Diceros bicornis minor: one gene and its partner. The protein of the gene in region 1 interacts with the protein of each later gene in a biochemical or structural test. Links are inferred from orthologs where the notes say so. Each region holds a gene or a part of one and is shown on either strand. Other genes may lie near its edges.

What was found.
Region 2: the proteins of ARNT (region 1) and CALCOCO1 form a complex in vitro, tested with the Homo sapiens proteins (2 studies listed by BioGRID, with this or other methods). The link is inferred for Diceros bicornis minor from reciprocal best matches to the Homo sapiens genes ARNT and CALCOCO1.

The regions. Positions count from the first base shown.
Region 1 is NC_080743.1:55,243,009-55,250,520, forward strand, and holds the start of ARNT (aryl hydrocarbon receptor nuclear translocator), read right to left. Parts: upstream 3,009-7,512; 5' UTR 2,910-3,008; coding exon 2,885-2,909; intron 1-2,884. UniProt on the Homo sapiens protein: Required for activity of the AHR. Upon ligand binding, AHR translocates into the nucleus, where it heterodimerizes with ARNT and induces transcription by binding to xenobiotic response elements (XRE).
Region 2 is NC_080756.1:16,604,564-16,611,779, reverse strand, and holds the start of CALCOCO1 (calcium-binding and coiled-coil domain-containing protein 1), read right to left. Parts: upstream 3,048-7,216; 5' UTR 2,977-3,047; intron 803-2,976; 5' UTR 779-802; coding exon 623-778; intron 304-622; coding exon 201-303; intron 1-200. UniProt on the Homo sapiens protein: Functions as a coactivator for aryl hydrocarbon and nuclear receptors (NR). Recruited to promoters through its contact with the N-terminal basic helix-loop-helix-Per-Arnt-Sim (PAS) domain of transcription factors or coactivators, such as NCOA2.

The DNA of each region.
Region 1 (7,512 bases):
AAACTATAATTTATATAGGTGAAAATTGTGTGAAAAGAAAAATTTTCCTAAATGTCAGCCTTACAAACCCAAATAGTGTTCCTTTCTTTGCCTTCTACCACATTCTCCATCCACAATAAATGGTCCCTAATAGCACAAAAAGAGATCTCCACTAATGAGAACACCAGAATCAAGAGAGGAAAAACCTACCCACCTACAAACTCCTTCACAGCTCTGGTTTGAATATTGAATTATAAATCAAATACCCAACCTCTTCCCAACCAGCGCCTTAGCCAATGCATTACAAATCACACGTGCAATTTAAAAAGTGTTCCTCAAAATCGTTAGTATTCCATAAACAAGAAAGATACAGCCTAAGACTTCATGGACCATCTACCCATCCACTTCTACTTGCCAATGGTAAGTAGAATTAGAGAAAAATAATAGAATATTAAGAATTACCAATTCATACAGAAAAAAAGCCATCATCACATTAGAACTATTACTTCAACATAACTCTTGGAGGGTACAGTATAAACCATGTCTTACTCTTCTTTTGACCCAGCACCATGTTAAGACACAGTGAAAAATGCAAAGGAACCAGATCCCCTGCAAGACACTGAAGGGCCACCCATGGTCTCTAAATCATATTCTGAGTACAATTAACACAATCATCAAGCATTGTCATTAACGCTAACGATTAACTCAAATGAAGCTTAGAGACTACAAAAATCCTTTGCAGACATATCTGAAGACAGAACTGTAGGGAAACTTAACAACCAGAAAAAGAAATTAGAAAAAACTCAAAGAAATAGGTAAGATGTCCCTAGCACCCAAAATAGCTTTAAGGAAAGAAGGTTTGACCATGCAACAGAATTCTGACCTGAAAACCATTTACTTTCTTTTCACTGAGCACAGTACATTTCCACCCTGTGTCTCTCCAGTCATGGTCCTCATTTCCCAAAATGCAACAGGCTACTAAAAGTCCACAATACATCTATGATCTCCTCCTTCTGATATAAAGGGGTAAAAGGAGAAATGAAGGAAGAAAATACATTTTCTGATTTAATCATCATGTGTTGAATGTGGGATCAATAACTTGGAAGAGATGGAAGAATTTTTCAACATCAAAAAAGAAATCTAGAAATCGCAGAAGCAGGCTGCTAAAGGACAACAAACAAAATCAACTGTTTCATTAGCAAGTATTCTACACAAATAAATGCTATTTTCTGCTTACAGATTTAGCTGATATTGATCAGCTAATGAAAATGTGGTCAAGACACTGTCATTCTGGTTACTGTTGTTTAAAAAGCAAAACAAAATAAAGCAACCCCACCCACACTGCTGGAAAAAGCTTCTGACATATGCACTAAACTTGTTTACGCAGGCCACCTCTTAATAAGAGAAATACTTTGCAACTTGACTAGGGTTATATAAGTGTTTTGCAATGTGTTGTCAGTTTAAAATCTTGTTTATTTACTCCCTAGTTAACAGGTTATTTTACTACACAGTCAGGTCTGCCATAATAATAGCATCTTTCCAATTTTATTCCATCACTCAGCACTTCCTGCAATAGAATTTTAGCAATTAATTTTATCTCCTTTTCCTCTAAAAAAACTAAAACGATTTAAAAATATGATATCGCCACGTGACAAATTAACTTCTTTAAATAGGTCTGTTCCCAGAAACACAGTAGGAAGGACAATAAATTTCACAGTGATTCAACTGTAACAGCAAAATCTGGCTATTGCAAAATAATACTGCCTTTCAGAGACACGGAAAAAAAATCCAACTTAAATTTCAACGTCGGAACAGCAGTGAATTCCTCCAGGCCACTGCTGTATTTTCAAGAAATTCGCCCCCACCTCGAAATTCATTTCTTTTGTAAGGCTATCAAAGAAATGGATTTCTGGGAAAGCATTCTATTTTGCAAGAGAATGGCCAACGTCACCAAGGTAAACTAGGACCCCTAAAATGAAATACTTCCCAAGGAGAAGTAACTGTAATATAGTGGGAAAAGGACTGGGACTAGGAATTTGAAGACCTATCTGTCTAGACCTGCTGCACTACACCCCATTCCATCTCTTAGACATGACTGGCTAAATTTTTTTGAAATGTTCAAGCACTCCCTTTTGAAGAGATGGTTCATTGAGAAATGGCATGGAACTGAACTTTTCTTAAAGAATGGGAAGTGCCTCAACCCACACCTAACAAGATTTAAACCTGGTTTTCTGGATGCTTGCTGTTGGCAAGACCGGTCCTGAACCTCAACCATTACACAAACCTCGGCCCTCAGCAGCTAAAGGCACTAGAGGCACCTCAATACATAAACTCAAGTTTCAAAGTATAGCCCGGGATTAAGAGGAGGGAGGTGGGGGGGGGAGGCATAGCCTAGAGAAACGGTGAGTATATATTCAAAGATTTTTTTAACTTAAAGTCTAAATATTTAAACGATTGGAAGTAACACCTCCGCTAAATAGCAACGTGGTCCGGTGTTTATGAATCCAAACTACTTTTAAAGTGAAACGAGCCACTCTGCCCACAGTTATTCGGCATCAAGCAGCTCCAGTGGGCAGAGGGTTGAAACAGGACCACATCGCACACCAGAACGCTGCCAGAAGAGTGGAGGCGGGCCAGCGCAGCGCGGGCAGCCGCTCCAACAGAACTCGCGGCACGGAACCCCCAACTCCCACCCGCCCGCTCCCTCCCTCCACCTCGGGTCTCTCCAGTTCCCCAGAGTCCGGCCCCTCCCTCAGGTCACTCCCCTCCCCCACCGCCCCCTCGCCACCCCCGCGCGTCCCAGCGCCCTCAGCCCCAACTACGGCCCCTCAGCCCTGGTCTCCTGAGTTGCCAACCCCCTCGGCACGTCCTCCTTTAGAGGCACCCCAGTCCTCCGTCTCCTTACCGGGGTTAGCAGCAGTCGCCGCCATGGCCGTAGATGCCACCGCCGTCGCACCACCCCCCCAGGGGGAGGGGCCGCCGCCACCGAACCCGGGGGGAGGGGGAGGGGAGAGCCACTCCCCAGACGCGGCGCCCTACTGCCGCCACCGCTACCGCGGAATCCAAGATGGCGGCTACAGCAACCCCCCCCACCGTCCCCAGCCCCTTTAGCGGAGAGACCCCGCCCACAGGGGGGCGGAGTCAGCCCCACAGCCAGCCTCCTCTGGGAAACTGACCAATGGAAACACCAAATCGACCAGAGGCAGGCTGGCCACTGCGCCAGCCGGTCCGGTGGAGGAGGGAGGAGCAGGAAGAAGTCCAGCTGTCTCCATAATCCCGCCTCCTGTGCGTCAGAGGTCAATGATAGAGTGACGTCAGTGAGAAACAATTTTACTAAAAAGCTTGGCTTGGTGGTGGATTCGCGTGGTTGGCCAGTCTGCAGACAATTTGTTTTGTAAATCCTCTTTAAGTGCTCTAATGCGTAAACTTCACATGGTGATTTGTAATCGCTTCTAGAGTTCTTTCCTTTTTTAAGGACCTTTGTCCCTCGTGAAAAAAGTTCGATAACTAATTTTTGAATGCCTGCCACGGAACTGATAGTGGAAGAGGATCTGGGCTCTTACGGTCTGGCGAGGGAGATACTGACAGCCAAAATAGGAGGCGATGTATGAAGAAGATATTTTGATTAAGAGTGGGATAACTTCCTTTGGTCAATGATAGGGACCTAATGATGGGTTTTTAATAGAGAAGTGATAGGGTGAGGACTGCACAGATTTATTTTCTAATATAGGAAGCATTGAGCACTTCAGGCCAGACACTGTCCAAACTGCTTTATGTATTTACTCATTTAATTCTCATAACAACACTGTGAGGTAGATTCTATTTCCATTTTGCAGAAAAGGAAGCAGAAGCAAAGAGGTTAAGCAAGGGATACTCAACTGGTTAGTGGTGCGGGAGGCAAACCCGAGGAGTCTCACTCTGGGAACATGTTCCACCCATCCCCCTGTTCTAGCACTACAGTTTTAGCATTATATGTCTTTCACAAGTTGTTTAATATAAATTTAATTACAATCTTAGAAATTGAGCATCTTTGTGTTCTTATAGGTTGTATGTGTACTAAAAGATTACATTGATCCATTTCCCTCATTTAGTTACCAGTACAGTTTATCTCAACAGAGGTATTTTCACATAATTTGTATATTATTGTTTACATTTGTTAAAATTAAATTTTTCTTTGTTACCGTTTTGTTATGTTGTATTACCATTTCAGGAAAAAGAAAAATCATCCACTCAAAGAAGTACATTGAAGCATAAGAAGTAGTGAAAAAAGTACTAAGTACTTCAATTCCAAATTATGTAGTAAAAGTAGCTAGCTACTAAACAACACTGCAGTGCAGATATAGAATATGAATTATGTGCCTGTAAATGTAATAAGTTCATCCAAGCAGCAAAAACATAAATAAAAATGTAAATAGGAAGTACAACTATGAATATCTAAAAATTGGATTTTATTGGGCCAGCAATCTATTTGTCCCTTGCCTGCTGCACCTTGACTATTAGGAAATTTTGTCAAACAGTGACTTGGAAAGCCATCAAAGCTTTCAAGTCATTTTTTAACCAGATACAATAACCTCGCTGTCAAGTAAAGTCTATTTTTCCAGAATAAATGCAAAATAATGTTTTCTAGTATGAAATGGATGAATATGTGGATAAAAAAGATCAAGTTATATCCCTCATTTAAAAATTGGTAAAAGTCGTTTTGTTTTAGAGATGCTTGTACAACTAGCTACCAAGTTAATAAAAAATATTTTGCTTGGAGAAAGTATAACAAGCTTTTGGCAGAAATCCCTAATCAAATATCACACAGAATCATGGTATACAACAAGAAAGGGCAATATCAGCCTTGTCCTTGCCAACGGATGTTTACCTTACAAGTGGACACCACTGATGTACACATTATGAATCATTTCACAATATATATATGTGGTACATAAGGAAAAATGCCCAGAAACTTCCTATTTGTTTTATCATTAAAAATTCAAGTTACAGAAGAAGACATTTTCATGTAGAAAAATTTTCATTTAAAAAATAATTATTTTGTGAGGGATGAGAGAATCTGAAAAAGGTATCTCGGGATCAAAACTTATGGGAGTTGTAGCTTCGGGTGTAGAAAGGACGTTATTCCTGCAAGAAACAAAATATCAGTCCACTTTCTGTTTTATTCAGAGAAAAGTTGATATCAAACAATATTTCTCCTGATTCTGATTCAACATAGGAAAAATTAGTACAAAGTATAAATATAGTTAAATAGCAGCCAGTAAGCATAATCTTTGAGAAGAAATAGACAAATGTTAGAAGACTGCTTTTTCCTTGATGAAGTATGGAGGCCAGTAATGGGGAAGGTGCTCCCACAAGTTTTTTAATAAGGGCTGAAGTAAAACTTCCTTCTTTACTATACAGATAATACTAACAAAAACCATTTTTATTTTTCAATTAGGCTTGCTCAAATGGCTTATCTGAGCAATATTTTCATTATTTTTATTAACCTGAACTTATTACTTCAAGTTCTAAATGCCATGATTTTTAATCTTGAGAACAAAGTATCAGGATTGTGTAAGAAAAACAGACTGTTATGCAAATGCCTTGACTGCCAAGAGTTTGTTATTTCCCAATACATGATAATTTCCTTTCTTCATCAGAGAAAGAAATGGATGACACATTATTAAATATATTTTAAACCAACATCCAAATGTTGCAACTGAGTAGGAAAAAATGCTTTTCAGAGCTGAATGCAGACCATGCGGCTGAGTGGAACTCCTGCTCTCTCCCAGGTTGAAACATTCAACTTTTGAAGTTGCTATAAGCTCTTCTACTTAGAATCTGACAAACTACTGAAAACTGTCTTCGATTAGAAACTCTCCATGAGGGCCAGCCCCGTGGCTTAGCAGTTAAGTGCGTGCGCTCTGCTGCTGGCGGCCCGGGTTCGGATCCTGGGCGCACACCGACGCACAGCTTCTCCAGCCATGCTGAGGCCGCGTCCCACATACAGCAACTAGAAGGATGTGCAGCTATGACATACAACTATCTACTGGGGCTTTGGGGGAAAAATAATAAAAAATAATAATAAATAAATAAAAGCAGAGTGTTTAAAAAAAAAAAAGAAAGAAACTCTCCATGATACTAGATCCATGTTATTCAGAATTATCTGGTAGCCATCAAACACTCATTACAATATCTGACAAACTCATTGCGAATTCAGAGTTTCTAATTTTAGTATAAATAAAAATTAAGTCAATTATTAAGCCTGACCTATTGCACATGTTTTCAGCTTACCAATATTAAACAGTTACTATTCCTAGTATTAATTTTTAAACTATTACAAATTTTTCTGTTACCTTAATCATTACAGTAAGCCAGTTTTTTTAATTACTTAAAATGATGGTCTGAGGATGTGCCAGTTTTATTGTGTCTCCAGATAGAGTTGCCAGATTTAGCAAATAAAAATATAGGTTGGCCAGTCAACTTGAACTTCAGATAAACAACAAAGAATTTTTTAGTGTAAGTATGTTCCAAATATTGCATAGGAAATATTTATACTAAAAAATTATTCATCTTTTATTTGGAAACCTTACTCCTGGAGGTTAAAATTTTAAGGAACACTGATTCAGGTTATTTTGGGGAGGGGAGAGACTAGAAGCAGGAAATTCGCTTAGGTAAACAGCTACTGCAGAAATCCAGGAGAGAAATTACAAGGACTTGACATAGGTCAATGAAACTGAAAAAGAAATGATTGCCCCAAATATTGTTGTGCCAGAATAATCAACAAGGCCTGCTACATAATTGCATATGGAATAAAAGAAAGCTGTGATGTCAAAGGCTTTTGGATGATATCGATAACAGAGACAGGTGCTAACTGGAAGTTCAGATTTGTTCAGCTGAAGTTCAGTTGTTGGATTGTTGGTGGGACAGCCAGGTAAAAATACTTATTAAAGTATATGAAATCATGGGACATCTGCCCAAAAGAGAGGTTGGCACCTAGACCTAAACTTGTGCATCAACTGCAAGAGACTTGTGGTTGCAGAAAATGACAGCAACAAAGTTAAAAGAGAAAAGAAAAAGGACACAAAGAATGCCTCAAGAAACGCCTGTTTCAGATTATGGAAGAAGGAAGAGGCAACCTGGAAAGAGTAGGGCAATGGACGCAAAGGAGTTTTAAGATAAAAGAGTTTGGGCAACAGTATCATATGTTTAGAGATAAGGATGAGCAAATCTAAGGAGAGAAGAGGGAGTGGAAACCATAGTTCAAGTGAGTGAGAAGTGAATAGAAAGTGAGTAAAAAGAGGCAGGTAGTTAGCATACACCACTTTTTCAAGAAATATGACAATGAAGAGAAAGTACTCAAATGGTAGCTGGGGTGGGGGATAGGGTAGGGCTGGGAATAGAAAGATATGTCTGTAGACTGAGCTTGTGGAAAGGGACAAATTAAAAATGCAAGAAAATATATGCGCCCAAGAAAACAAAGCTGATCCTAGGGGAGACAAGGAGAGAGGTTAGGGCTGCATGTGGAAGTGTTACTCTCAGAAAAACCAAAGC
Region 2 (7,216 bases), on another chromosome or scaffold:
CCATCTCTAAATCCCTGATTCTGTGATAATCCCATGATTCTATGTCTGCTGAGCCCTGTTGAATGTATTTCTTATTTTATTTATTTGCACTTATTTTTCTTTGTCCTCTATGCCTAACTTTTACGCTTCTGAGCCCACTATCTTCTTCCAAATCTCCATCCCCCTGGCTCCTCCCTTTGGTTTTCCATCTTCCCTCGTACCTTGGAACTGGACACTGGCATGGACGGGGGAACCATCAGCTGCACTTTCAGGCACAGAAGACCACACAAATGTGTGGTAATCCCGAACACAGGCAGCCTCCACCTGTGAGAGCCCAAAGTGGGAGAGCGGTATGGCAGTGGAACTACCAGCTGCAGATGGCAGAAAGGGCTGAGGGAGTTAATGGCAGGATAGGATGGTGTTATGGTGGCAAGGATGATGAGAGACAGAGAAAGTGGAGGAACACTAATGTGTCAGGAGAGAGCAAGGCTAAGACGAGGAGAAGATGGCCTCTGTCATCTGTGACATCTTTCTCCCTACTTCTCTATCAACATGAGGCTGAGAATCCAAGAACCTAGTCATTCCCCTTATTCTGACCAACCCATGGCCCATGAACCTGAGCCAATAGGGGTTCCAGGGATACCTTGAAGATGCCAATCCAGTCGCTGGCACTGGGCATGGTGCCTGGGGGAAGGGTGTAGTGACATTCCACCTTGGTGTTGGGGATGTAGGTCCGGGCTACGTTCAGAAAGTTGACTCCACCCCGGGACGGTGCCCGGCTTAGTGACGATTCTTCCATCCTGCCCTTGAGATATCTGCCCTCCTATGAAACAAAGGGTTAATATCCTAAAGTCTCTCCACTCCATCTCTTTCTTCCCTAACTCCATCCTCACCCACCCACAGCCCTGCCACTACACCTGGAGATGAAGGCATATCTGCTTTCCAGCCCCTGAGGGTTACAGGAATCTTTAGAGGTATCATCCTTAGTCTCCAGGACAGAGGTCTGGTCTTCTGAGTCAGTTCCCACCCTGTCTCACTGCACCCTCTCTGAGTCACAGACTCTTCCTAGAGTTAAGATCTCTCTAATTTCTGCTCCCTTTTCATAGCCCCATTGACCAAGTCTCAGTGTCTCAGGCTCTGCCCCGCTCAGTCCCTCCTTTTCCACCTCTTAATGTCCTTCTTAATAGCCTCCATCTCCCTGTCCCATCCCCCACATCTTTTGGCTCTTGAATTCAAAATCCAACTGAGGTGTGGGGCCCCTTCATTCTGAGCAGATCTCCTCGCCCACTCCAGCTGTACCCAGGAATGACTTATGACACCTGAAAACAGCAACAACCTCTGAAAGCAATGATTGAGTCTTCAGAGCAGGAATATGGCTGGGGGGACAAGAGCCCAATCTTCAGGCCCCTGAGCTGTCTGTCCTCTCCCTCTTTCTGAGCTGTCTACCCCCATGAATAAAAAAAGGCTTCTGTTCTTATCCAAGACACAAAGGGAAAGGGAGGATATAAAGAAAGACAGGTCCTGTCCCTCAACTTCATTACTCCAGGAAGTCAAGAATTCTGGAGGCGGCTGCTTCAAGGGTGGAGTGCAACACTCCGCAGGAACGTGGTGCTGTGGGGCGATGGAATGTGGGGGCCTGGAGCCAGGAAAGCCCTGCCCCTGGCCAGGGGACAGACTGGAAGGTGGGAAGTAAGAGGCTCTGAGAAGGGAAAAATGTATATATAGTGTTGAGAGAAGGAGGAGAGAGTTCAAAAAAAACCTAACATTCTTCTCTTCAGGTCTTGCCTGGAGCAAGACTAGAAACCTACTGGTTTGACTGTATGTTAACCCAGCCCTAGTATTTCCCTCCCCATTTTCTCTCTCCTTCTCTTGGCCTCAATTCCAAGTGCCTGAATCCTTCCATCTGCTTGGATTGGTAGTGGGAGGCATGCTATAGGATGGGATTGAGAGGGAGAGGTGTCCCAAACTGGGTGGGGAGAGTTAATTGGAAAATCTGGGGGTGGGTGAGGAAAGATAACAATAACAATCAAGAGAACTCCTCAGCCCAGAGTTGTGAGATGGCCCTCTCATCTCTCCTCTCCAGCCCCCTAACCTTCACCCTGTGTCAGCAGCACCTGACAGTGTCCAATCAGCCATGGCCACTAGTCATGTGCATGCCCCCAAACATCACAAACCCACACCACGCTGAAGTCAGGGGGGCAGGAACTTTAAAAGAAGACAGAAACTCAGTACAGAAGGAAAGGTGGGCAAGCTCTGCAAAAAGGAGTAACATCTCCCTCCAAAATAGAGACTGACTTGAGGACAAGAGATTTCTTTGGCTTTTCATTTCTCTGAAAAATCCCTAGTTAAAACTAGTGCATGTTTTCTCCAAATACGATTCTTCTGGCTTTCTAAAGGAATGACTTGTCCCCAAAGATCTAAGCCGGGGGAACCCCAAATATGCCCCACAAATAAAATCCATAACAGCTGGAAACATTCCCCAGGCCTGAAAGAAAGCTCTGGGCACCTAAAGTGTATGTGTGTGGTGAGATTCAGGTGTTCAGAGGAAAGGGGTCCCATCCCCCCACTCTGTAGGACTCTAAAGTTCCTTGACATTCTACAGCTTGGAATGTTTTTTCTCCAGGGATTCAGCGTAGTAAAGGCCTTCGGATGGGGTACGGGAGGTAAGGGGAAAGGGAAGGTTTGTGGTGGCCAACCCGTGCCTGGGAGAAAATGAACAAAGATTTCACCTCCCCCCAACTCCCCTGAGCGTATCAAGCTTTACAGAGAAGGACTGAGAGGTACGTGAGAACAGCGAGGGGGCAACCCCCTGATCAGGGCCCCCCTGAGGCCAAGAACTCCCCAAAACAGTAGTGGTGGCTTCTCCAGTACGGAAAGTGTTAAAACCCAAACGCTCCTCTATCCCCCTTCTACAGCTCCCTTAGATTATCCTTTCACAGACTGGAAAGCGGGGTGACCCCCCATAAGATCACCCCCAAATTAGGCCAAGTTTCTTACCCCTCAGACGGATCAGCTGTTCCCTCACCTTTCACCAACAACAAAAACAGCACTCCGACTCGGGGTGGGGAGGGAGAAGAGTGGGCGCGAGGGCTTCTGGGGTTTGTGGTTCCTCTGCGTCCTTTTGCCGGCGAGCCTGCTCGGATCTGGGACTACGCAACCCAGGAGGCTGTGCGCAAGGAGGGCGGAGCAGAGGGCGGCCGTGGAGGCGGCCTCACCACGGCATCCTGGGAGGCGTAGTTCTCACTTCCGTGATGGTAAACGAGGGTATGTCCACCAAAGGACTTCACGGCCCATGATTCCTTAGGAGAGGGCCGGCTGTATTAGTGGTGACTACTGGTTTGTAACGTGCGTGGTTGGGGGGTGGGGAGGAGTTACGGCTCTAACGCCTCCTGTGCGTGTAGCGCTTTGCAGGGGGCGGAGCGTGTTCGGCTTCACGCTCCCGTTTACTTTTCGCAACAACGTGTGAGGTTGGTAATACGCATTTTACGGATGAAGAAACTAAAGCTCAGAACGGTTAAGGCAGCAGTCTCAAGTAGCAAAGCTGTAAGATGGTGGAACTCCATCTGTAAGATGGTAGAACTTTGCCGCTACCATTGAGGGGACGGGGAACTGATGGCTGCGCTAGCAGTTTCTTCTTTGCGTCAACCTCAGGGACAGCCCCTGTAAAAACTGTGTGTTGTGTACTGCTGGCTATTTTTTTTCCAACTTGAGAGTTTCAGTGCCAGGGACCTGGACTGGGCTGCCGTAGTGTGGTCTCTAGGTCGAGGAAGAGGATCCATTGTCTGAAGTGTGTGTGTAGGGGGAGGTGAAGTAAGAACGAAGCTGAAAGGGGAGCCTGGCATAGTTCAGGGCCGGTCACAGCTCACCAACAAGCCACTTACAGGGGCTGGTTTGCCCAAGCCTTTTAACTGGCTTAAGCTAATCAGGATAACAATACATGTTGTTGCTCTTGTTTTTATCGGGTGTGTGTGTGTGTGTGTGTGTGTGTGTGTGTGAAAGATTCATACTCTTCCCATACCCCAAGTCACCGTTAAACACTGGGGCATCATGCCCCACCCCTCCTTCCCTGGGACCTTCCAGATCGTCTGAGGCTTTTGAAACCATCTCTCTCCCTGTCCTTGTATTAAGGAATTACAGTCTAAGGATTGATTTGCTCTTCCTGGTACCTGCTTTAATTCCCTGCTGCACTAAGTTATGGAGCCTCTGCCTTTCCCATGTTTTTTGGTAGTATTTTGCTTTTATGACTGAATAGGGTGTCTTGTGCCTGCCCTTGGGTCCCTTTCATCTGAAGATCTCCAAGCACTTAACAATAAGTCACTGGGCTTCACAAACATTAAGGTGACATGTCTGTGTCATTAGTCAGGATTTATGAGTTAGAAAACAGGCTGCTGGGGGAGGAGACGGCTCAAGGTCTAGAGTGGGTTAAGAGTGAGGCTCGTTCAGGGAGGCAAGTCTCAAGTGTTCTTGGTTTTTGTCTTCCACCCAGAATAAAAGCTTGGAAGAAAACTCAGTCTCAGCTGGAGCTAAAAATAATAACAACTTCCATTTACTGGGTGCTTATAATGTGTTTAAACTATGCTAAGAATTTTTCCATTTGACACAACAACCTTATATAGTAGGCCCTATTATTATCCCCATTTTACATATGATGAAGATTGAGGTGCAGACAATTAAGTGACTTAACTAGGGTCATCCAACTAGTAAGTGGTAGAATCAGGATTCAAGCACAACTAGTCAATACACCATACTCCCACCCCAGAAACTCCTGGTATGTGATACTAACACTGATTGTTCTAAGGAACAGTGCTATTAATTAATAAGGGGACGAATGTTCCCTTGCATTTATGTGCAAGGCACAAGTTGATGTGAAACAGATTCATTGAACAAATACATGTGTCAGGCACTATGCTAGGTATTCAATACAGTTTGCTGAAAGAATGAATATAAAATATAGATATTTGAAGGATGGATTAGATTTGGATAGTTTGGCAGGACAACGTCTAGGAAGGATAAGCTCATTTCAGGCTGAAGCAAAGGTTCACAGGTTTACTGGAGGCTAGGAGGTCACATAAGAACAGGGCATCATGGGGCCGGCCCGGTGGCCTAGCGGTTGGGTGTGCACGCTCTGCTACTGGTGGCGCAGGTTTGGATCCCGGGCGCGCACTGACGCACTGCCTCTCCGGCCATGCTGAGGCCGTGTCCCACGTACAGCAACTAGAAGGATATGTAACTATGACTTGCGACTATCTACTGGGGCTTTGAGGAGAAAGGAAAAAAAAAAAGAACAGTGCATCAATTTCAACTTTTTTTTCTTTCAAATTCAGATTATTGGTAATGACTGCCCAATGTTGTGTTGAGAAGGATTCTGAGGCAAGAGTGCTGGGATTAATTAGTAATGTCTGTCATGTACTCCAGATGGAAGATGGCAGTTGTAGTAGATTGATTTATTGTTTGAAAGTGTTTACTTTCTCCTTCCCTGCCCGTTGCCACGTGTCTTGCAGTATCTTCTGTAGAAGGAGTATATGTCTCATTTCATTGACTTTGAACTTGATCATGTTTCATATTTTGACCAATGAGATGTGAACAGATGTGACTCATGCCATGTCTGAGCATGTGAGTTTCCTTTTCTTGTTCTCTCCATTAGAATGGGCCTATTTCACATGAGAGTTGCTCCTTCTGCCTGTGTCCTGGAATGAGAAGAGCCGTGGAGCAGAGCTGCAGCCTGCCCACAGCCTACGTACACGAAAGTCAGAAATAAACCGTGTTGCTGTAAGCCACTGAGATTTGGGGTTGATGTTGCAGCAAAGCTGACTCATAGCCATACCTGGTTAATGGTGTCAAGGTTGAAAGGTAAGTGGTATCAGGTTTGAAAGGTAAGTTTCAGCTAGAGTGTGGAGAATCTTGAATGCCAAGCAAGGCAGAGCCTGCCATGTGTTTATCAGAATCTCTTTCCTTCTTTTTCTTGGACACACAGCTGGACTGCATTTTTCAGTTTCCCTTTAAGTGACATGTTCCACTTCCAGGCCTGGCCCATGAAACCTCCCAAGGGAGATCCTTCATGTCCTTTCCTTTTTGGCTTGATGTGTATGATCTTAAGCATAGTGACCTTGAAAGTACAAATGTTAAAGATGTGGGGACAGAGGTTAGAAGGAACCGAGTTCTCTGAATCACCACTTGGCAGAGAATGGCCCGCTAATCAGGAACATGCGTTTTGGACTTCACTTAACTAATAAATCAATTTCTGTTTTGCTACACCACTAAAGTTTTGGGCCGTATAGTAGCTAGTGTTTTTCTAACCACTAATACATCAGGTTATAATGTTTGGACTTCATTCGCATCAAGAATAGGGAGTTAGCCACTGACAATTTTTTTTAACAGGGGGACTAATACTGTGAATACCCGTGGAAGTGACAGTTATTGGGATTACAGAATACTTCTGAGTGAGGTTGTGAGATCTTGGGACTGTTGGTGTTTTCAGATTACAGAGAACTCCTGACTGGGGCTGGGGAAGATTGAAATGATCTTTGAAAGGCTCTCTAGAGGCGTGGAAGGAGCTGCTACAAAATGAATCCTATCTTCCTGAAGTTTAAAGTCTCTTTTCTCCTTTGTGAAAGGCCTAACTCTGGTATTGCTTCTCTAGCCCAGTGCCTGATATATAATACATGGTGAAGGGAAGCTGGTCCTGGACTCGTGGAATGCTTTGAGGAGCTACCACTAGCTGAGTGTCCCCTATATGAGAGGCTCTTTCACCCATCAAACCATCACACCACCACGCAAGGTGCTCTCAAATGTTTCAGACGAAGAAACTGAAACTCTCAGGGTAACTTGCCCAAGGTCTCTCAGACCAAACTTATTCTGAAACCCATGTCTTTTCCAATATAACAAGATGCTTTTGCAGAAAATCATAATGGCTAGTGTTTACTGAGTGCATGCCGTGTACCAGGCACTCTGCTGGGTGCTTTCAAACATGCAGAAGCAGCTGGTGTGTCAGATATTGTAGGCTGTTACTAGTGTTTCCAAACTGTGGGCTCTGTGGGAAGTAGGTGTCAGAGTCTGCTCGGGCTGCCATAACAAAATGCCATAGGCTGGGTGGCACAAACAACAGTAATTTATTTCTCACAGTTCTTGAGGCTGGAAAGTCCAAGATCAAGGTGCTAGCTGAATCAGTTCCTGATGAAGACTCTTTTCCTGCCTTGTAGACAGCTGACTTCTCACTGTGTCCTCACATGGAGGAGAG